Pelodiscus sinensis: one gene and its partners. The protein of the gene in region 2 interacts with the protein of the main gene of each other region in a biochemical or structural test. Links are inferred from orthologs where the notes say so. Each region holds a gene or a part of one and is shown on either strand. Other genes may lie near its edges. The genes, in order: UBE2V2, HLTF and RAD18.

Evidence for each region.
Region 1: the proteins of HLTF (region 2) and UBE2V2 form a complex in vitro, tested with the Homo sapiens proteins (2 studies listed by BioGRID). The link is inferred for Pelodiscus sinensis from reciprocal best matches to the Homo sapiens genes HLTF and UBE2V2.
Region 3: the proteins of HLTF (region 2) and RAD18 form a complex in vitro, tested with the Homo sapiens proteins (2 studies listed by BioGRID). The link is inferred for Pelodiscus sinensis from reciprocal best matches to the Homo sapiens genes HLTF and RAD18.

Annotation. Positions count from the first base shown.
Region 1 is NC_134712.1:69,650,074-69,657,511, reverse strand, and holds the start of UBE2V2 (ubiquitin-conjugating enzyme E2 variant 2), read left to right. Parts: upstream 1-4,434; 5' UTR 4,435-4,557; coding exon 4,558-4,573; intron 4,574-7,438. Other genes in the region: DNA replication licensing factor mcm4, read right to left, coding at 310-474, 3,775-3,847. UniProt on the Homo sapiens protein: Has no ubiquitin ligase activity on its own. The UBE2V2/UBE2N heterodimer catalyzes the synthesis of non-canonical poly-ubiquitin chains that are linked through 'Lys-63'. This type of poly-ubiquitination does not lead to protein degradation by the proteasome.
Region 2 is NC_134720.1:25,563,045-25,570,873, forward strand, and holds the start of HLTF (helicase-like transcription factor), read right to left. Parts: upstream 3,011-7,829; 5' UTR 2,895-3,010; coding exon 2,875-2,894; intron 1-2,874. UniProt on the Homo sapiens protein: Has both helicase and E3 ubiquitin ligase activities. Possesses intrinsic ATP-dependent nucleosome-remodeling activity; This activity may be required for transcriptional activation or repression of specific target promoters.
Region 3 is NC_134721.1:19,120,205-19,127,346, forward strand, and holds the start of RAD18 (E3 ubiquitin-protein ligase RAD18), read right to left. Parts: upstream 3,014-7,142; 5' UTR 2,853-3,013; coding exon 2,805-2,852; intron 844-2,804; coding exon 762-843; intron 1-761. UniProt on the Homo sapiens protein: E3 ubiquitin-protein ligase involved in postreplication repair of UV-damaged DNA. Postreplication repair functions in gap-filling of a daughter strand on replication of damaged DNA.

The DNA of each region.
Region 1 (7,438 bases), on a different chromosome or scaffold from region 2:
GAACATTATGAAGTCTAAGACTGTAAAAGGGTTCAAAAAAGAGCTAGACAAATTCATGGTGGACAGGTCCATCAATGGCTATTAGCCAGGATGGGCAAGAGTGGTATCCCTAGTCTCTGTTTGTCAGAAACTGATTGACGGGGCATGGATCACTTGATGATTATGTGTTCTGTACATTCCCTCTGGGGCATCTGTCATTGACCACTATGGAAAGACAAGATACTTTAGGATAGACATTTGGTCTGACCCAGTATGGCACTTCTTATGTTCCAGTAAGAAATGAGTTCTACTTGCACCACCTGTGCATACCTGAATCACGAAACTGTGGTGGGCTGGAAAACAGAACATTTTGAGCATTTGGGCTTTGCATGTCAACTGCTGGAGAAGTTGGCATTGGCTGTAGATCTCCTGTAGATGTGGAGTCATCTGTTCGACGTTTTTGTGAAGGAGGCGACTGAGCATCTTCAGTGCGTGCTGTAACAATATGAAAGCTGGTAAGTAGCTATTTCAGATTTAAGTTGCAATGTTCTACACCGATAAATGTGAACAGATCAAATCACAAAAAAATCATATGGCAGAATGGAAAAAAATTGGTTGATATAAAATTAAAAAGCAAAGTGTAAAATTTTGCTGATATGAGAGTAATTGTGAGATTTCAAAGTGGTTAAAAGAATTTAAAATTGATATTGAATTTATCTTCCTAAATGCTTAAGATATCAGACCTGCTACAAGTGCTATGAAAACCTAGCTCATATCGTGTTTTTCCATCATATAGTGTTTTTAAAAAGTGCTTTGAAAACAGGATCATTACAGGCAGTCCTTGACTTTATGATGTTCAACTTCTGACGAATGGCATCTACAATGTTTCTGAATCTACACTCTAATTTCGACTTTATGACTCTCGGCCTCATAATGGAGCAGATTGCAGTTCTGAGTTATGAGATTTCAATTTATGATACAATTGATGTCTGAAAATAGCATTGAGAGTCTGAGGACTGCTTGCATCCCTATTTTCTAGTGGGGAAACTGAGGCACAGAGAAGAGGACCCAACCTACATACTAATGAGTATCAAAGATTTCAAGTGCAGCATTTCATGTACCCTATTTGTAAACTTGCCTGTATTTCGCTTTTAAAAAACTTTTAAACAACATCCTCTTCCATTAATGCATCGTTGAAGATTAGGGTCAGGTCTATAGCTCAAAGTTTTGTCAATATTGTTATGTCTGTCATGTATGTGAAAAAAACATTCCCCTAACTCAGGAGTGGAAAATAAGCAGGCCAGTCATGATTCATAAGGGGTAGTCCCTGGCAGGCCACCAATCACTTTATCTGAGCATTCACAGGTACGGTACCTTGCAACTTTTGTCAGCTGTGATTCACCAATACCAGACAACGGAAGCTGTAGGAATCAGTAACCCAATGAATGATGGCCTACAGGAGCTGCAAGTGGTACATATGGCTGCTCAGAAAAATAAAGTGTCCAGTGGCCTGATAGGGACTAACCACTTATTGCCCACTCCTGCCTTAAGTTGATACAGGCTATACCAGGAAAGCCCAAAGTTGTAGCCACAGTTATGCTGACAGAAGAATGTCACAAAAATGGAAAAGACCCACAGTGGGCTGAGCTCAGGAATGACATTACATGCGCTGAACACTCCTCTGCCCCTACAGCTGTGCTGGCAAAGCCTTGTAGTGTGGACAAGGCCTTTCAGAAAAAAACAAGTTCAGCCCACAACTGACAAAGAGTAATGTTCCTTAAGTCACCTTGCTTAAGTGGCCTAAAACCGGTAACTTCTTGCTTCCCGCATGTCCAGATTTTTGAACTCTTGTTTTAATGATGAAAAACTGCATGTAACATTCTTCTCAAGACATTTGCTTTGCAGAGCAAACATAAGAGCTAAACTCCATCTTTTCTTGGGCATCAGCCAGGCTAAACCTACATATGGAAGAATTCCTGCTTATTATAGGCAGCTGGAATAGGAGGGAAACCCTGAGTGTGTCTATGTAAATACAAATTGCTTCTGTTTGCTTAGATATTCAACTGCTGCAACGATTGCCCATTGTAACCAATTTGGTTGTTGTGGGATCCCAAATTGCATTAACAGTAAATGCAGGAATTGTGAAATATGATCACCTAGGCTTGCAATTATTGTGGGAAGGCAGAAAAGTCAGACTGTTTAACCCAGTTCAAAAGGAGAGCGACTCCATCAGTTTAAAGACAAATGGATGGACAGAGGCTGTGAGATAAAGTTGGGGAGGGCAGGACTCCCTATCAGTAATCTACATGCTCTCCAGGCATGAGGGTTAAAACTGGTTCAACTTGTTTCTCCTCCTCCCCCCCCACTCCTGTTTCAATGATAGAGCTAAAATAGGCCCCAGAAATCATCTCTTTAATTTACTCTAGTGGATGATGGCATTTTTTATGGCTGGACTGTGCTTTGGGCCAAGAGTTGCAATCACTAGACTTGGCGCAGAGCCAAACCCACCACAAGCTGGCAGAAGCAGCAAGTGCATGGTGACTGAGAGCTAATAGGTCAGTGTTGGAGAGATAGGACGAGCGGCCAGCAAAGTGCAGTGGCATGATGAGCAGCCAGCAGAGTGATGACAGCACCATGAGCAGCCAGCAAGGCAGTGATGGAAAGGAGTGATGAATGGAGGCAGGGCTGGTGGCTGGCAAATGATCAGCCAAGTGAGTAAAATTCCTCCTAACCCCTCCACTCAGGATGGGAAGTGAACTCTGTGGATGCACCTCTAAGCTATGGGTCTGCCCTGACTAAGGGCAGCAGCTGTGAGTGGGGTGCAGAGAAGGGTAACACTTGAAAGGGACCAAGTATCAGAGGAGTAGCCGTGTTAGTCTGAATCTGCAAAAGCGGCGAGGAGTCCTGTGGCATCTTATAGACTAACTGAAGTGTAGGAGCATAAGCTTTCGTGGGCAAAGACCCATTTCGTCAGACGCATTCATCTGACAAAGTGGGTCTTTGCCCACGAAAGCTTATGCTCCTACACTTCAGTTAGTCTGTAAGGTGCTACAGGACTCCCTGCCGCTTTTACTTGAAAGGGACATTTACATTGCTGCACTTTGCCCCTCAGAAGCACCCAGAGCTGTCGTGTTAATTCGCCAGGTTACTGGGTGCAGGCTCAAGCCAGTTCTGTGTTGGATGGATGGAGAGGAATCCCTACTATTGAACCTGGCCCCGGCACTTGCTGATGCTACCTGGCAGAAGGGTTACATCCACTTCATAGGTAAGTGAACCTAGTTACTACAGACAGGGATCCGAGGAAGGCACACAGGCTGCTGAGCATAGCTAGGGTTGCCAGGTGTCCGGTTTTGAACCGGAGGGTCCAGCATTTGAGCTTTCTGTTCGGGAAACAAATAGAGAAAATAGAAGTGAGAAAATCCAGCTGTCCGGTATTTTCTACAGAAGATGTGATGTCGATTGTGCTGATGTCGTGTCAAGCGAGTCCGGTATTTCTGTTGAAGCCATCTGGGACCCCTAAGCGTAGCTAGGCGCAGGGAGACCCAACCCCAGGTGCAAGACGCCGCTAAGCGGGCAGCTACTGCCCCCCGCGCAGGGGGGGCTCCCACCGCCCGGAAAAGCCCCTTCTCCCAGGGCAGGCGGTGCCCAAGCCACGGGGCTACTGCAGCGGGGCTACCGGGACCGGCCCGTCCCACGCCGCAGTGCGAGGAAGGGGCCGCCCGCGCGCCCCGGCACGGCCCGCGCCTCCCGGCACCCGCTCAGCGCCGAGCGCGGGCTGCTGCGCCGGCCACTTACGAGTCGGGGGGTTGCTGCCCCGCCCGCGCTTGCTGCCGCGGCGGCCAGTCGGGGTGGAGGCCGGCGAGGACATGGCGCTGCTCCAGCGGCTGCGGCTCCCTGCCGGGCGGAGAGAGAAACTGAGGCAGGGGCGGAGCGACCCCCACCGCCTGCGAGCGGAAGCCTCGCTCCGCGCCCCGGGACCCGCACGTCACAGGGGACCGCACCCGCCGCTCGCTCCCCCTCTGCGCGCGGACACGGGACGCGGGGTCTCGCGCTCTCGACCCCCTCTTCTTCCCTCAGCACCTTCGGCCGGCCAAGGAACGCCGAGAAAATTCCGCGCCAAATGGGTCACGTGGCGGGCCCTCGCGGGTTTTCCTTCCAATCGCCGCACGGGAGAGCCCAACTCGGCCCGGAAAGGGGGACGGAACCACCCATCTAGGTTCCGGCAGCGAACGATGGTGCCTTAGGGGCTCTGAAAGCCTCGCTACAGGGACAGAACAAAGACTGACAGGAGCCCGATTCCCCCACAATACAGGGAATGCCCCCACGTAGAGCCTACATCAATTCATAGGCAGGGTTCCCCCTCCTTCTCTGGTGAGAGTGGTAGCGCCCAGTCTCTTGGCACAAGCGCTTGTTCCATCTTCGCCCCGCATCGTGCATTCAGGGCCGGCTTCCCTTTCCGTCGCTAGATTTGCAAGCTCTGTGTTTTTTTTTTTTTTTTTACTAGGAAGTGACGTGCTGCGTCAGGCGGAAGTGACGCGATTTGCCCAGGCTCGGGCCGGTGGGAGGGGTTTGGACAAGATGGCTGGATCCACAGGTCTGTGAGGGGGGCTCGCGGTGGGCCTGGGCCTGGGGCGGGTGCGGCGAAGCCGGTTCCCGCGGGGTGGGCCGCGGGCGCTCCGGGAGCGGTCGGCGTCTGTATCCGCCTGCGTTCGGCAAAGGGGCGGTGGTGCCTAGGCCGAGCTGCGGCGGCCGGGCCAGGCCGAGCCAGAGCCTGGGGGCTTCCGGCGCAGCCCCGGCGCAGGGCGCTGAAGGGCAGCGCTCCCCTCCCCAGGGCCTCGGCTGGGGGCGGTAGCGTCGCTTGTAAAGGGCTGCGGGTTGGGATGGCGGAGGCACCTGCGCGGGCCCCGGTGCACGGGGCTGGGGTCTGTGCCTGGCAGAGCCGCCGGGAGCGGAGCCCGAATCCGTACGGCGGGAAGGGAGCGGACTCGCTGTCGGTGTGAAATACAGGGTAGTGGCGGGGCAGGGCCCGGGGGAGATGAGGCGCTAGTGCTCAGTGCCCGGCTTGGGTGGCTGAAAGGCAGGGCCGGGTAGGAGGGACACGGCGTAGTGTCCAGTGTGGACAGACTCGTACAACCAAGGGGATCGATGCCATCTCTTAGCTTACTGCAAATGGTGATGAGCTGAATGGAAGAACGTCGGGATGGCGTTTCCCACTAGCTTAGGTGGTATCGTGTAGCTCAGTAGCTGAGCAGAACCTAACTTATTTTTCATTAGAAGCAATATCCGGCCCAGGGCAGAATCTCAGTCTGGGTTCTAATGTAATACCCAACTGAGGATTTTAGAGGGGATTTAGGATGGAAAGGAATCAAAGTTAACTAACAGAGTGAAAGGTGGAGAAGATCCCAGGGGTAGCTGAATGAACTGACTTCAGTGCTCAGTCAAGGTAATATGAGGGTCAAGATAACTCGACTTAATGTTTCCACTGAGTTTCTGGAGTGGTAGGCCACAGATCAGAACCTTGTGAGGCGGACCTCACCTTCCCCCTCCATGTTTGATGCAGTTCCTCTGCAGGGGAAGAGGAATAGGGTACTAGGTAGAGCTTGGGGGAGGAAAAATTCCTTTCTGAGCATGATTTTGGAAATGGGATGTGAATGGCAGATCCTGAAGAAAGGGAGGAGAGCAGCCTTCAGTATCTCAGGGAGCTCACCACAGGTGATGCAGTGCTTCCCTTGCTGACAGTGAAAAAGCTTGTGTTGCCCAATGTGGGCTGAATTGGGGTAGGCTGCTATGTGTGATAGATGGGTATATTAAAGGAACTGTGTATTGACTTTACTGTGGGAAAACAGTGTTTTCTTTCTCTCTCTAAAAATGCTTTGTGATGTCTTAGTTTAAAATACTTTTTTTTTTAAAAGAACTTTTAGTATAGAGTTCCCAGATTCTATTTACTCCTACCTGCCTCTGAGTTCTACGTCTTCTGGTTTCCTTTAATAAACAGGAAGTAAAGTTGGTTTTGTTTGTGAGTTAATCTTTGCATCTAGCAACTTTTTTGTATTCAAAACAGTTGTTTCATTCCAGAAATAACTAAAAGTTCCTGTTATTGAATCAGAATACTGTATTACTTCTGCTGTGTACTCAATAATAAACTCATTGCCTTTTCCTCGAGCTCTTGGCATATTAACAAATAAGATTATTTTGTATAGCTTGTATGTGTGTATATGTCTCTTTACAGAAATGACTTTCCTTATTGAAATGTACATACTTGTATAGTAAAACAACTTGGTTATTTAATAACTGTACATATATACTTTCTTGTCTCCAGAGATCCTGAAGTCTTTTATACCATACTTCCCTAGCACCATTGAAAATCAGCCATCTTTTCAATCAAGGGGACTATGATGGCATCGTTGGGGTGCCGTCTGGAATAGATGGACCGCTGTGCCTCCCTAGCTGGATAGCCTGCGCTGTGTCTAATGCTTTGCTAAGTACAAACAGCTAACCGTCCAGGTGCTTTGATCACTCAGCACAGTAGCATATGGAGTCCTGCATTGAGCTAGATTGTATGAATGCTCCCTGAGTCACTCATGAATTGCACAGAGAAAGCCACCAGCCATGTCTTTCCAGCTGCCAGCCTTGTACCTCAGGCATATACTGTCTTGCACTGTTCAATTTATTAGTTGGTTCACCACTTCATCATTGGGAAGTGGAAATGCTCTAGCTTTTGTAAAACCAAGCAATTACCTCCATGCACTTCATGCAAACTCACTGGTAAAGATAAACACTTAAAAATGTATTGATTACAAAAAATAGTCAGAAAATCAGAGTTAGATACCAAAAGAAATAAAATATAACCATTCAGAATAAACTTTCAACCCTATTATATTGAGCAATATCTACTGTAAGCACTCCACTGAATATTGCAGTCCATAATATACAAGTTTGTCCATTAAACATGGGCCAGCCTCCTCTGTTGCAGTCTTCCCAGTGTCCTGGTTGCTTTCAGTATATGTTAGGGCCAAAGAAAGGTGAAGCATAGGCCCACTGAGTTTTCCTAGCATGCCCAGGCCCAGACATGTCTCGTGGGCATTGCTCCGTCTCCAGGTATGGTTGAGCAATTCCCCTGACATGGCATCATGCAGGTGAGTCATTGAATTGTAGCTCTCTTGCTAGACAATGGCTGTTGGTGATTGTTTGAAACCCCGCCCAGGCATCGGCTGCTCTCAATGCAGTTGTCTTTGGGGAGTTAATATTTGGTTGATTCTCCAACTTCCAGCATGTTTACAACACTGTCTCAAAAGTGTGTATGCACTAAAAAGACACATATTTAGATAATTTCTTAAATGTCATTTAACTATTACCTTTCCCCTGATACCTCACATGGCATGCTTTATATGAAATATCACAGTTATATGCAGATGAGAAATATGAGGATAATAGGGGGCTCCATCAAGCTATAGAATGT
Region 2 (7,829 bases):
ACAGGTTGACTGTGCGCTGTGTAAAGAAGAACTTCCTTTTTTTTGTTTTAAACCTGCTGCCCATTAATTTCATTTTGTGGCCCCTAGTTCTTATATTAAGGGAACAAGTAAATAACTTTTTCTTATTCACTTTCTCCATACCACTCATGATTTTATATACCTCTATCATATCCCCCCCTTAGTCTCCTCTTTTCCAAGCTGAAGAGTCTTAGTCTCTTTAATCTCTCCTCATATGGGACCCGTTCCAAACCCCTAATCATTTTAGTTGCCCTTCTCTGAACCTTTTCTAATTCCAGTATATCTTTTTGGAGATGAGGAGACCACACCTGTACTTAGTATTCAAGATGTGGGCGTACCATGGATTTATAGAAGGGCAATAAGATATTCTTCATCTTATTCTTTATCCCTATTTTAATGATTCCTAACATCCTGTTTGCTTTTTTGACTGCCGCTGCACACTGCATGGATGTCTTCAGAGAACTATCCACAATGACGCCAAGATCTCTTTCAGTATAATCATGCTTGTTTCAATTATTTTGGTTAATTATATTTAAAACTACAGTACAATGGATGAAAAACAGAACACCGAAGGAACTCCTCAAATCCCCTTTAATAGTAACGTAGCTAGTACTGACACTTTATTGATCAACAAATATATACAGCCATTTGCTCAGTGTTACACCATAGGCAACTGAAGAGCAAGTGAGGGCTGGGCACTCTTACTTACAATTTGAATTGACTACTGGCCATTTCCAGAAAGGTCAGTAGCAAACAGTTCATAGACCACACTCTAATAGGAAATTTTCAGTCCACAAATTTAGACCAGCTCTAATCACTGAAGTACGAGAAGCTTTTATAAGGCCATACTGACACCACTCTGGCAATGTAAAGGAGCCTTAACATTTTTTACACCTTGTATATACTTCTGGGGAAATTCACTAAGAATTAGGGATGTAAGCAAACAGTCAACTAACTGATAAGCCTAGGCTTATCGGTTAAGCTAGTCAACTACTCGACAACTCACATTTGTCCGTCCGTCCCCACTGCCTCTTTATAAGAGGCAGCAAGGGGTGGAGGAAGCAGGAGCCATTACAAAAGCCAGGTCATCACAGCACCATCTCCGTGGTGCCACCTGTACTCCCTCCTGTGCTGCTGCCTCTATCAACTGGGCATGTACAGGGGCTGCTCTGGCCAGGAACCTACCCCCTGCTGTGGCTCTGCATTTTAAATGTAGTAAGAGCTGAGCTGCCTGCATGCCTGGCCTTTAGTACATTTCAACTTCAGAGCTGCAGCAGGGGGTAGGTCCCAGTCCTGGACATGGAGCAAGCCACAACTGAGCGGGGCTGCCTTCCCTTATCAACTAATTGAGTGGTCGATAGTATTTTTATTGACTACTCGATTAGCCAATTAACCGCATCTTAACATCACTAAGAACAATAGGAACAATTCACTAAGAAGGCAGGCTGCTACATTTTGCTCTGCCTGAGGAGCCTGCCCCATACCTACCTCCTCAGAAATATCCCTTATAGCTCACAACCCTGCCTTAATTTGGACATGTTGTGGTAACAAAGAATTAACTAATGTAACATGTCTAACTGACGTGAGATACCAACATTTAGAGAGCACTAAAGCCCAACTAAGGAGATACAACAGAGGTCACAGGATTAGTAAGGGAGTATGAAAAAGACAGTCATCTCACAAAAAGTGAGAACTGGCCGTTCTCTCCCCTTCAACACTAACTGATAACTGTTTCCATAACAATTGGTTGGACCTCTATAGACTGGCAACATATGTGGTCTGACATCCCTGTGGATGTTCCCAGGTTGGAGCACTCATAAGGAAAAGCCAGGGCCCATCCTCAGCAACTCCTCCCCTGTCCTCCCAGAGCACCACAAATAGCTCATTTGCAGGGCTCAATCTCAGGGACAAAGGGGGAGAAGCAGGAACTGGGTGATGCTCAATGGAAGAGGCAGGAGTGCCACCCTATGGGCCTCTGCAGCCACCTGGCCTTTTTCCCCCAAGCGCTCCCTCCATTTGCTTGGTCAATGCCAGTCCATCTGCTGCCATTGGAGTGGAACCCCACAGCAAGCAGCAGCAGAGGAGCCAAAATTGACCTCCTCTGGTCTGGCAGATGCCTTGGTTTGTGATCAGTCAGGTCCTTAAAGTAACACATCAAGAAAGTACAAACCCACCGAAGCCTCCCAGTCCAGAGAGCCAAAAGTCTAATCCACTGCTGGTTTCCAGCCCGCAGATGTGAAATTGCGGTAAGCCAGTTAAATAAAATGCTTAACTGATTAAGTGTAATGCTGCAGGGCACACACGAGATGCAGAGGGGCTGGGGCTGCAGCCGGCCTGGGTCCTGTTTGCCCTTCCTAGGGCCAGGGCTGCCAGGATCCTGCCTGTCTCTGTCTGGTGGGGCTAAGACAGGGCTGCCACAGCTGTTGCCCTGCCCTGATTCCTGCCACCCAACCAGTTTAACCAGTTAACTACCCGGTAAACCTAATGCTTACCTGGTAACCATTTACACTCCTGGCACAGCTCCACTATGCACCCCCCCCACACACACACACACCCCTCATGGCACCCAGTCCCACTCCCTCAGCCCCATTTCCCCAGGGTGCCCAGTCCCCCCCTCGCCTCAGCCCCACCTTCACCCCCCCCCCCCAGCACGGCGTCCAGCCTCACCCCCATTGTTCCCCTCCAGGCTCAAGGCACTCAGCCCCACCGGCCCCCGCGGCCCCAGGACGTCCATTCCCACCCCCTCTCTCCCCAGGCCCAAGGCGCCCGGCCCCTCGGCCTAGCCCGCTCTCCCAGCATCCGGCCTCGCTGGCCCATTGCACAAGGCCCGCCCGCTTTGCCCCCACGGGACCTCACCGCATGTCCATCCAAGCCATGGCGCTGCTGGGGGCCGCCGCACGGCTAAGGGCACAGAACAGATCCTGCAGCGTCCTCCCCCCACAGCCCGCCGTCAGTGCAGCGCTACCAGCCTGATTGACAACAACAACACCAATCTCACCCCGCATGTCACAGGCCCCAGCCAATGAGAACAGGGCTGTGGCAGAGGGGCGGGACTTTCTCCGTGAGTTCTCTGTGCGACCGAAAAGAGCCGCCAAGCCTTCGAGCGGCTGCTTCCTGTGTCCCACCGTCTCCCTTCCACCGCCGCGGCGGCCAGGAGGCTGCACCCACAGCCTGGTTGCCAATTAATTCCCCTTGCCCGACCCCCCGCTACTGACACCTCAGCCCGCGGTGGCCTTCGGGCTCCCTGCACAGCGGGCATAGAAGAGGTCACCTGGAGAAGCAGTGGAGTCTCTGTCACTTGCAGTCTTTAAATCTGGACAGGATGGCTTTCTAAAAGGTCTGCCCCATCGCTGAAACTCAAACAAGTTATGGGTTTGATGCAGAAATTACTGCAAGAGATTGGCCTGCGTAATGCAGGCCAGACTAGATTATAATAATGCCCCCTTCTAGATTTAAAGTCTATTCATTGCATGTCATCACATCTTGATATCACTGGATCAATTTGTGGCATTAGTACCTAACAACTCAATGGTGATTGACTTTTCAAGCCCAGGGCTGCCAGGTGTCCGATTTTCAACTGGAACACTCAGTTGAAAAAGAATTTGGAAGGTTCCAGTCAGCACTGCCAACCTGGCTGTTAAAAGTTCGGTCAGCAGTGCTGCAGAGCGAAGGCGGTTCCTACCTGACCTGGCTCTGTGCTGCACCCTGCAAGCAGGCAGCAGGGGTATGGGACCAGTGCTCAGGGAAGGTGCAGCATGTGGAGCCTTGTGGGTTCCCCCACCTAGGAGCCAAACCTGCTAGCTGTTTACAGGCACAGTGTGATGCAGGATAGTAGGCACGAATGGGTCTGCCACTTAGCATACATGCCCACCCACCGCCCTGCCTCTACTACCACCAGACCATGAGGGCTTGCCCATCTCCACTCAGTGCTCCAGGGCTATATCTACACTGGTGGGTTCTTGTGCAAGAACTCTTGCGCAAGAACACGTCCACACGGCCATGTGCTTTTGCACAAGAGCATCCATGGCAGTGTGGATGCTCTCTTGCGCAAGAAAGCTCTAATGGCCATTTTAGCCATAGGGCTTTCTTGTGCAAGGAGCTCCTGCTGCACATCCACACTGCCATCTTTTGCAAGAGCTCTTGCACAAGAGGGCTTACACTTGTTAGAAAAGAGCGTAGCTCTTGTACAAGAAGCCCTGTCTTCCGACACCGTACTGTAAATCTTCTTGCACAAGAGCAGATGGGCAGTGTGGACGCTTTGTGGGTTCTTGCGCAAGAACGGCCATTCTTATGCAATAATCCACCAGTGTAGACGACAGCCCAGGAGATTAGCCTGCTCCTCCACCTGGCTCTCCCAGCAAGCCTCTGTGCCCTGACCCAGCTTCCCTGCTGGGAGCTCCAGGCAGCGAAGCAGGGCAAGCCCTGGCAATCCATCCATGCTGGGTGGCATAGCAGGGCAAGCCCCTGTGCTCTGACTGTTCCATGCTCAGAGTGCCGGGCAACAGAGCAGGGCAAGCCCCAGAGTTCCAACTCCACTGCTAGCTGGAAGTGCCAGGTGGGCGGATGGGACATACCCATGCCCTGAGTGAGGGGGGAGCAAATGGGAGGATCGCACATTTATATGGGGGCTCCCATTTTTAAGAGGGCCCCTGGTCAGAGCATCTATCCCTTCCCCTCTTCCAAGGCTACTTGAGGGAGGAGGAGAGGCAGCTGCATCATTGCTACTCCCCAGTCATTGCCCACCCACCCAAAGTCTGAGCCCCCCCATCTGGTCTATTCTGGCTAAGACGTTGCTGTAGTGCCAGGACAGGTAGAGTCTAGCCTGCCTTAGCTCCACAGTACCACCAACTGGACTTTCAACAACCTAGTTGGTGGTGCTGACTAAAACCACCAGGATCCCTTTTCAACTCAGTGTTTCAGTTTAAAACCAGTCATCTGGTCACCCTATCCACAGAGCCTCACCCCCAGATAGAACCCTCATGCCCCGCAGTGCCTCACCCCCTTACCCCAGCTCTGAGCCCACCAGCCAGGAGTGAGAGGCATGCAAAGAATGCAAGCACTTTCCCCGCACTCCCTGAGACACCTGGGGAACGGGATCAAAAACAAGCCGCATCACAGAGTGCATGGCTGTTGTCCTCTCCCCTCCCCACACTCCATCCTGCCACAATTCCACCCTTGTGAGGCAACTGCAAAACCCAGTGGAGCTGCTTCTAGCCCTCAGTGCTTTGGAGTTGCAGCTTCAGCCCGGGCAGGGGCCTTGCAGAGCCCAACTAGGGCACTGCAGGGCAGGGCGTGCTTGGGCTTCGCAGGTGCACTTTGTGTGTTGCCGCTTTCTCTCCCCTTGCCCTACCTGCCCTGGTGTGGGAACAGCAGCACAGTGACACGCTGTCCAGAAGCTTTCCTCACAAGGGGACGCAAAGCTAGGTAAGAGTTCCTCCTCATGCCCAGACCCCCCACACCTCAATCCCATCACTCAGTCCCCTCCCCAACCAAAACCCTGCACCCCCAGCTTGTGCTGACACCCTCCCTCCCAGCAATCTTGACTCCTGTGCCCGGAGCTCTGCACTCTGCACAACACTGCTGCCAGGGACTGTCCCCAGCAGCTCCACTGCATCCCAGGACTCCTGCGCACTGCCATTGGCTCCATTTTGCAGTTTGCAGCCAACGGGAGCCCTAGGAAGCAGTGTGGGCTGGGCTGCTGCTTCCCGCAGCTCACCTGGGCTCAAAACAGCGAAATGGAGCCAATAGGAACAGCGAGGCTCCATGGCCACAGCGCCAGTAAATAAACAAACCGGCGAGGGCAGTTAATAGGTTTCTCAAAGTGGTTTCGTGGACCACTTTGAGAAAACATTGAGCTAGAGGGGAGGCTGTTACAGATATGATTTTGACAAAAAGGGAAGAATTGTTTGAGAATCTGAATGTAGGAAGTACCTTGGGTGAAAGTGATCATCAAATGATGAATTCATGATTATAAGAAACTAGAAGATTTCAGGCATTGCTCGGGTCCATAGCAGCTTGGAGTCAGGTGAGAAGCACTTCTCCATGGTTGCTGCAGCTCCAGGAGGCATAGCCAGGGAAGGGGTTCATGTCCCCTGGCTGGGGCAGGTCCAGATTTGTCTGTTCACTACACTCCCCAGATTGAGGAATGGAGCAAACTGTGTATTTTCCCCTCACTCCCTGATAGAAGAGGAACAGCCAGCATGTTCCCATGCAAATGGGGGGTGGAGCTGCAGCTCCCCCCACCCTCGCTAAAGGGTACCTGAGGGATGGGAGGCCCGGGCCTAGGACAGTCCTGGCCGTGGGACACACCCCAACCAGCTCCTTTCATCAGCCTGGTGATTTCTATATTGTTGTATGTATCCCTTTTTGCATGGCGGGGGGGAAGGGGAGGAGGGAGCTTCAGCCTGCCCCATCCCAGTGCAAAACCAAACCTTTATCTTGCTTTAAGTTATGATTCACTTTCTTTTATTCCAAATTTGGTGGTCCTATCTCTTACCATTTAGGAGGAGTTCTTGAACAAACAGCTGGACAGACTTACTCACAAGTTCTCAAATATATAGTAGATGATAGGGAAAACAGGAGAATAAAAATAGTGGAAATCATGCTTCACCAATCTTTTAGAAGTCTTTGAGGGGCTCAACAAGCGAACAAAGAAGATCCAGTTGATACTGTGTACTTGGACTTTCTGAAAGCCTTTCACTAGGTCCCACACCAAAGCCTCTTGAGCAAAGTAAATACTCATGGATTACGAGATGAGAGTCTAGTGATGGGTTAAAAGGAAGCAAAGGTTAGGAAGAAATGGTCAGTTTTCAAAACAGAGAGAGGTGAATTTCTGGGTCCCTCACAGATATGTACTATGACCTATTCTGTTCAGAATATCCATAAGTGATCTGGAAAAGGCGATGGACAAGAGGTGCCAACATTTGCAAACAATACAAAATTATTCAAGACAGTTAAGATCAAAACTGACTACAAAGAAGTATAAAGGAATTTCACAAAAGTGAGAATTGGGTGACAAAATGTCAGATGAAATTCAACATTGGTAAGTGCAAAGTAACGCACGTTGGAAGATATAATGCCAACTATAAATACAAAAGCGATGAGGAGTCCTGTGGCACCTTATAGACTAACTGAAGTGTAGGAGCATAAGCTTTCGTGGGCAAAGACCCACTTCGTCAGATGCATGTAGTGGAAATTTCCAGAGGCAGGAATAAATATGCAGGCCAGGATCAGGCTGGAGATGACCAGGTGGATCCAATCAAGGAGGATGAGGCCCACTTCTAGCAGCTGATCTGGAGGTGTGAATTCCAAGAGAATAGAAGCTGCTTTTGTAGTTAGCAAGCCATTCACAGTCTTTGTTTAATCCAGAGTTGATTGTGTCAAACTTAAAGATGAACTGTAGCTCAGCAGTTTCTCTTTGAAGTCTGGTCCTGAAGTTTTTTTGCTGCAGGATAGCTACTTTTAGATCTGCAATTGTGTGTCCAGGAAGATTGAAGTGTTCCCCTACAGGTTTTTGTATGTTGCCATTCCTAATATCAGATTTGTGTCCATTGATTCTTTTACGTAGGGACTGTCCAAACAGGACAGTCCCTACGTAAAAGAATCAATGGACACAAATCTGATATTAGGAATGGCAACATACAAAAACCTGTAGGGGAACACTTCAATCTTCCTGGACACACAATTGCAGATCTAAAAGTAGCTATCCTGCAGCAAAAAAACTTCAGGACCAGACTTCAAAGAGAAACTGCTGAGCTACAGTTCATCTTTAAGTTTGACACAATCAACTCTGGATTAAACAAAGACTGTGA
Region 3 (7,142 bases), on a different chromosome or scaffold from region 2:
CTGCCACGGACAGGGGCTGCTGCCGCCCAGCCAGAGCAGCCTCTGTTTGCAGCAGACAGGGCTGGCCACCACAAACAGAGGCTGCTGGACTCAGCACAAGCCAGGACAGAGCATCCCCTGCTCATGCTGTTCTGGGACGCTACTCCTCTGCATTTTAAATGTAGTAACAGCCTGGCGGCATTCAGACTGCAACGCAGACCCAAATTAAAGTAATCCTCTCCACCTACGTTCCCTCTAATTTTTCCTATCCCAGAGAAAAATGAATTTTGTTAAGTGCACCCAAGATGAAGGTGATGTGCAATAATACATCGCCTTCATATTGATGCACATAACAAAATTCATGAACTGGGGGGAGGGGCAGAGAAGGAGGCACATGGTTCATAGTGTGAGAAGGGGGTTCAAGCATGGGGCAGATGGCTGGAGTACAACACTGTGATGCAAGGGTGTGAAGGCTCCAATTGGTTAAACTGGTAGTACAGGCTATGGGGTGGGGCCGGGTTTGGAGTGAAGGCTTTCCTCTCAGCAGCACGTGGGCTGGGGGGGAAGAGCACATCTCCGCACTGTGGCAGCTCTGAGGCCAGGCTTCCCCAGGCGCAACAAGGTTGGGGCTGGGATTGGAGCCAGGCAGTCTGGCCCACCCCAAAAAGACCAGAGCAGAGTCAGGGCCTAAGAAGCTAACAGAAGAGATGACAGGATGGAACGAGCGTCAGGCACCAGGAAGGGCTATATTAACACACTCTTAAAAATTCTGCTATACTTACAGTTATGTGAACACTGTGGTATGATCATTGCAATATCAAAGTAATCAAAGCATATCCCACAACGCAACAAATCATCTACTGCCTGAAATAGGAAAAATAAAAGTTAAGGTCATTCTAAGGCACCCATAAAGATCTCTTCCTCAGACTACATATACAATATAGGAAATATCAATATGCTTTCAATCTCAAATTCTTGTCCACCAGTTTCTTAAACCCCATAGATGAAAAACAAAAATCCCTCACATCCCCTGGGAATGAGTGGTACAGTAGTTATATGTCAAGAGCTGCTACTCTAAAAACCAACCCAAATGCAAACTGTCAAATAGCTAAACAGTAGCAACTTGCTGAATACAAAGTCAATAAATAAATGTAAGTCAAAACAGCTTCCAAAATCAATTCTAGTGTATATATTTAATCCTCAGCATCAGTGCTAGAGCTCAAAAGTGTAAAGAGGGAGGACAGGAGGGAAAGGCAATCCTTGCAAAAGACCCTTGCCAGAAGGAGAGCTTTTCTAGTAACTCAATATTAACTGACAGTCCTCCTAACAAAACTCCACCCCCCCCCCCCCCCCCCATCCAACTCACTCCCTAGGAAAGATAAGGGTCTTGTCAAAATAAAAGGGCATGCACTGCCACCTAAAAGCTTTTGGAAATGAGAAATGTAAATTCCACTATAAATATTGCTGCCTCTGTGAGAGACAACACCATGGGGGAGGCAAAACAGCCCCTGTCCAGAGTGGCCTGCGCAGGCCACAGGCAGAGGCTGCTCTGGCAGTAGCCCCTGACCACGGGGGGGGGGGGGCTCCCAGAGGGGAGCCTCTGGTCATAGCCTCTGCCTGGGGCAGCAGACTCCCCTGCCTCTCCCCTAGGGATCCCCCAAAGATAGGGCTGCTGCTGGAGCTGCCTCTGCCTGTGGCCAGTTCAGGCCACCATGGACAGGGGCTGCTCTGGCCAGGCAGGCAGCCCTGCTCAGTCCCAGCTGCTTGTGCCAGGTCTGGGACCTACCCCCTCTGCAGCTCTGCAGTTTAAATGTATTAAGAGCCAGATGGGGAGGCAGCCTGGCTCCTACTACATTTAAACTGCAGAGCCACAGCACAGGTAGCTCCTGGACCCAGTGCAGGCCAGGACTGAGCACCTTCCCTTATTGAATAATCACGCAGTCAATAAAAATTCAATTGACTACACGATTCGCCAATTACCTGCCTCTCAACATCCTTAACTATAAAGCCAGCAGCAATCTTGATACTTTAGACATCCCCACAGTCACTCTGGGGAGTCCCCATGAATCAAAATGCCAGTTCTGACACTTGAACAGCCCTGGGGAACCATTCTTTTGCTTTAGGATTTTAAAGCGCTCTTACTTACGGTCCAAAGTTTATTCCCACCACCACCCCACAGCAAGCACCTGATCTCACTGGTCATCACCCTCTGCTCCCAGGGGGTGCATTCCCCAGCTCCCATTGTGCAGCCTGCCCCCAAAACCCCGGGCACTCCCCAGCTGTCACTGTGCTAACCCCTTCTTAGGCCTCAGGTTCCCCACCGCCAGACCTCACTATGGACTCCCATTCACCCAGGCCTGCACCCTCCCAGCTGTCACTGTGCAACCCCCCCCACTCCCTCAGGCTCCAGGCTCCCCCCCCAACTGTCACTGTGCAGCCCCCACCCACCCCAACTGTCACTGTGCAACCCCCCCCCCCCACTCCCTCAGGCTCCAGGCTCCCCCCCAACTGTCACTGTGCAGCCCCCACCCACCCCAACTGTCACTGTGCAACCCCCCCCCCCACTCCCTCAGGCTCCAGGCTCCCCCCCAACTGTCACTGTGCAGCCCCCACCCCCCCCCAACTGTCACTGTGCAGCCCCCACCCCCCCCCAACTGTCACTGTGCAGTCCCCTGAGGCCGCTCCGCGCGCTCACTGTGCAGCTCCCCCAGGGCGCCGGGCTCTCCCCACTGTCACTGCGCAGCGCCCCCGGGCCTCCCTCGCGCTCCAAGCCGCACAGCGCCGGGAACGGAGGACCGCCCCCCCCCCCACAGACAGAGACTCACTTTGAGCAGGGAGAGGTTCTCCGGCCAGCCCGGCTCGGCCAGCGCCATGGTGCCCGCCACAGGCCGCTTCCAGCCGCGCAAGCGTCCCCGAATCACCCGCGCTCCGCTCCAGACAGCAGCCGGCTCCGCGCACTTCCGGCCCCGCCCCCGGAGGTTGCTGGGAGTTGTAGTTTGTGCCGTGGCTCAGGGCTGCCGGGCCAGGATGGAGCTGGGCGTCACGAGGGAACAAAGGATCGTTCCTTCTTCGCTACGACGCGTCAGCCGCTCCGCCTCCCTCGCGCAGACACATGGTACCGCGGCTGCGTTTCGAATGCAAGGGCCAGCTGTTGCCCTGGGACCTTCCCCTGCTGTCCATGGAGAGATCTCATGCCACCCCCTCACTCCTAATCATCTGATGAAGTGGGTTTTGCTCAGGGGGCTATAGGGTTTGGTTAGTCTCCAAGGTGCCACAGGACCTCTTGTGTCTCCCTACACAGGGTTGCCAGGTGTCCGGTTTTGAATGGGACAGTCCAGTATTTGAGCTTTCTGTTCGGGGAACAAATTGAGAAAATAGAAATGTCCGGTATTTTCTAAATAAGATGTAATGTCAAGTGTGTCTGGTATTTTTGCTGAAACCATCTGGCAACCTTACTACTGAATCTAATATCACACTCCACCTTGTCTAACCAAACGCTCAGGAATCACGTCTGGATACCACAACCACCCATCAAATCATGAGATTGGCATAAATATGACAACATATTATTTAAAAAAAACTTTAAATGTCTTTTTAGTTGCCTCTAAGATTCCTGTTTTTAATCTTTTTCAGAGTCTTGTGGCTGTGAAGAACTAAATTACAAAAAACGAGGCAAGCTAACTTTAATATGATGATTTCAGGAGCAAAGGCCTCAAGAAAGTTCAAATACTGTATTGCAAGACGCGCAATACAGCAGTAAGCACAAGCACCAGTGTAGCCATCTGAGCATGCTATAATGTCATTTATTAGTTTGCCTATAATTTTACCTGGAAAAATCTGGAGATAACCGATTACTTTTAGAGTAATAGAATTTAAGGCTAGACTCAGGATTATCCTGGAGTCTCCAGGAATTAAAGATTAATTTTTAATTAAAGATAATGCTATGTGATGAGATCTCCAGAATTCGTCCAACCAAAGTCGAAACCCCTAAGAAGAGACAACCAGCTCATCTAGTCTGACCTTCAGGCTACCAGCAGCATGCACACATTAAACTGAAATTAGACAAAGGAAACTAGACTATTATATCCCACAGCTAGTAAATAGGAGGGATCATGGTGCACCAGTGTCCAAGGCAACTTCAATGGAAGCGAAATTATCCATACCCACATCCTGTAGAGAAAGGCAAAAATCCCCAGGGTCACTGCCAGTCTGACCCAGAAAGTAAGCCGGTGCACCCCACTGTGCTATTCTGGCAAGAAGGAGATGACCAGCTGGGGCACTCAGCTGCAGGAGGAGGCGCAGCATGCTCTCAACCTGTCTCCAAGAGATCTCCTGCAGGCTTCTGCATTAAGCAGCAGGCAGGTAAGCAGATTAAAGGAGTTGGCTGGGGGCATGCCCACCTGACATTTGTACCGGGATGCTGTTTGCTGTTATTCCCCTTCCTGTCACTGGCAGGAAGCAAGAGGAAAGGGCACAATTTGCTGCATTACCCTCACTTTGGCTGGGCAGGTCAGGGCAGACGTGCTCTGCACTCTCCTCTTGTTCCCTGAGGTGACAAGAAGGAAAAGAGCAAGTAACATCATGGTACAAATCTTTGGAATGGGGAGGGGGTCTTCAATCCCCTTGTCCTCCCTTCACACACACACGCACACACACACACACACACACACACACACACACACACACACACACACACACACACACACACACACACACACACACACACACACACACACACACACACACACACACACACACACCAACCCCCTGGCCAGGGCCCCCTTCTGCCCCTGGCTCCTGCCCCTCCACACACGCAATCAGTTAGCCCCTGAGCATGTGAGCAAAAACCAACCTGCCAAGTACTAAAGAGAGAATGCTCAGAATCCTGGTCCTCCCCACCCAATGCCCCATTTCCAGCCATGGACATGCCTGCTGCTTCAGAGAAAGGAGATGAAAAACAAACCAGAATAAACCGGGAGATCAGTGACTAACATGATGAGAACTTTATAAATACCTAAATGGATTTAGTGTGAGTGTTTCATTGATCCCTTGAGTTTTTAGTTGGATCCTTCTATAAACATTGGGTCTAAATTGTTATTTAATTAATGCACATGTGGTTATTGGCTGGTTGAGTGTGGCTGGTTGGCTTGAACAATGTGACTATTTGGCCATTTGAGTGTTGCTAGTTTGCTTTAGTGGTAACCACTATAAGGGCCACTGCTTCAGAACTTCAGAACTGGTTGGACACCACAGTAGTTGGGGATATGCTGGAAAACATTTTTAAGGCAATAAGTAACTTATTACAAAAGGAATGTTAACTAGTATGAAAGTGGAAAGCCAAAGATTGTCTTTGAGTTTGACATTCCTGGCTTACACAGTTCACAGTTTGCATACCAGATACCTGCTTGCAGTGAAAATAAATAAAAAAGATTATTTAATAGAAAAAAACCCATAGACTCAAAGATGAAAGTAAAAGGAAAGGGAAAACAAAAAGTATGCAAGCTATCAAAAAAACAAAACAAAACACAAACATCAGATGCCAAATAAAAAGATCCCCAAGTATATTTTCATCTGTGATTTCCAGAAGCCAATCTCTCTTTGGGGAGTGAAGAAGGTTGATTCATGAGTTTTGAACTTTTGGAGTTGGCAATACAGTACATGCAAGTTGATAGTGTCTCCCCCTGTGTCCAGGAACCCACACAGAAACCAAGATCCTACAAGACATGAAACTGAGTCCTCAGCCTGATTCTCTCATGTCCTCAGACTGGGATGCCACCTCCTTTCCCTCCCACCCGCACTAACATCCATACCCTCACACTGGGATCCCGCCTGCCCCAACAGCTAACATTTGCATCCTCACACTGACATCCCACCTGGCTCCACACCTCACCAGCATCCACATCCTCATGCTGAGATACCCCATCCTTGGCTGAGGTAACCAAAAGTGAAACCCACTGCTTTGCTGGCTACAAAGGTGCATCAGCTTGTGGGGCTCTCTGGCCACCACGGGTCTCATTGTGGCATAAGCACCCTCTATGGCTGGGACTATGTGGGCACCAGGGGCCTGTGTGCTGCTGAGAGCCATGTGTGCAAGTGAGTCCCTGTGTGCTGCCCACCCTCTCCCTTCCATGCCCATCCAGCAGCCACATGGGCCTGATTAAATAACTTTTAAAAAATATTTTGCAGGCTAGATTGGAGGAGTGCTCAGGCCATAGACTCCAGAATTAGATGATCACAGAGGTCTTTGCTGGCCTTGGGATCTATGAAATAGGAAATAATTATGGTATCTGTTGGGTAGTGGTAATTATGTCAAAACAGAACAGCTTGTCAAATAGAAAACTTCTTCACCAGCGCTGATTACGCTTGCTGAGGCTCCTGCTGTCGCCCAGCCATCTTCCTGTAGTTTAGTACAAGATGATTTATGAAGTTTGTTGTTGGGTATATTCTGAGTGGAAGCTAGTGGTACAGGATCACATTCACTTCCACTCAAACTATACCCAAAGAACATCATAATTCAGGAGTGGGGAACCTTTTTTGGGTCGGGGGCCGCTGACCCACAGAAAAATCAGTCAGGGACCACACAAGTGAGAAGGAAAGTGAGAGGCCCCAACTGAGATTGAGAAACTCCCCACATTCCCCTTGCACACCAGAGCTTAGGGGGCCCAGGCTAGTAGATTTTGCGTGTTCCAGCTCTGTGGGTGAGGGGGCTGGAGCACTAACGCAGTCTCCCCAATGATGAACCGGGGCTGACGTTCCCTATCCCTGTCATATATCATCTTGTACTTACTGGAGATCCATAGAAGGCATTTCCTTTGCAGTTGCTCCTGCATAGTCCCCCTGTAATGGTACCACTAAGGAGAAAATTTTGGTAAGTTTTCCTTCAGTTTGGAATCTGACTTTGCAGTCCTATGGACAAAATGTTCTTTATGTGCTTCATTGCAATAACTTTTATGGACCAGATGCCTGGTCTTAATCATGGGCTATTAAACTTACAAGCATCAACACAATTGTTAGGCTTTTTAAATAGTTCACTATAATTACATTTGTACTAAAGCAGCACATTGCTCACAGAAATGTAATTTATTGGCATAATATTTAGGCTGAAATAAAACAGTGTCCCACTATTTGACTAGTCAAGTCTGCAGCTTTAGATCAGGATACAT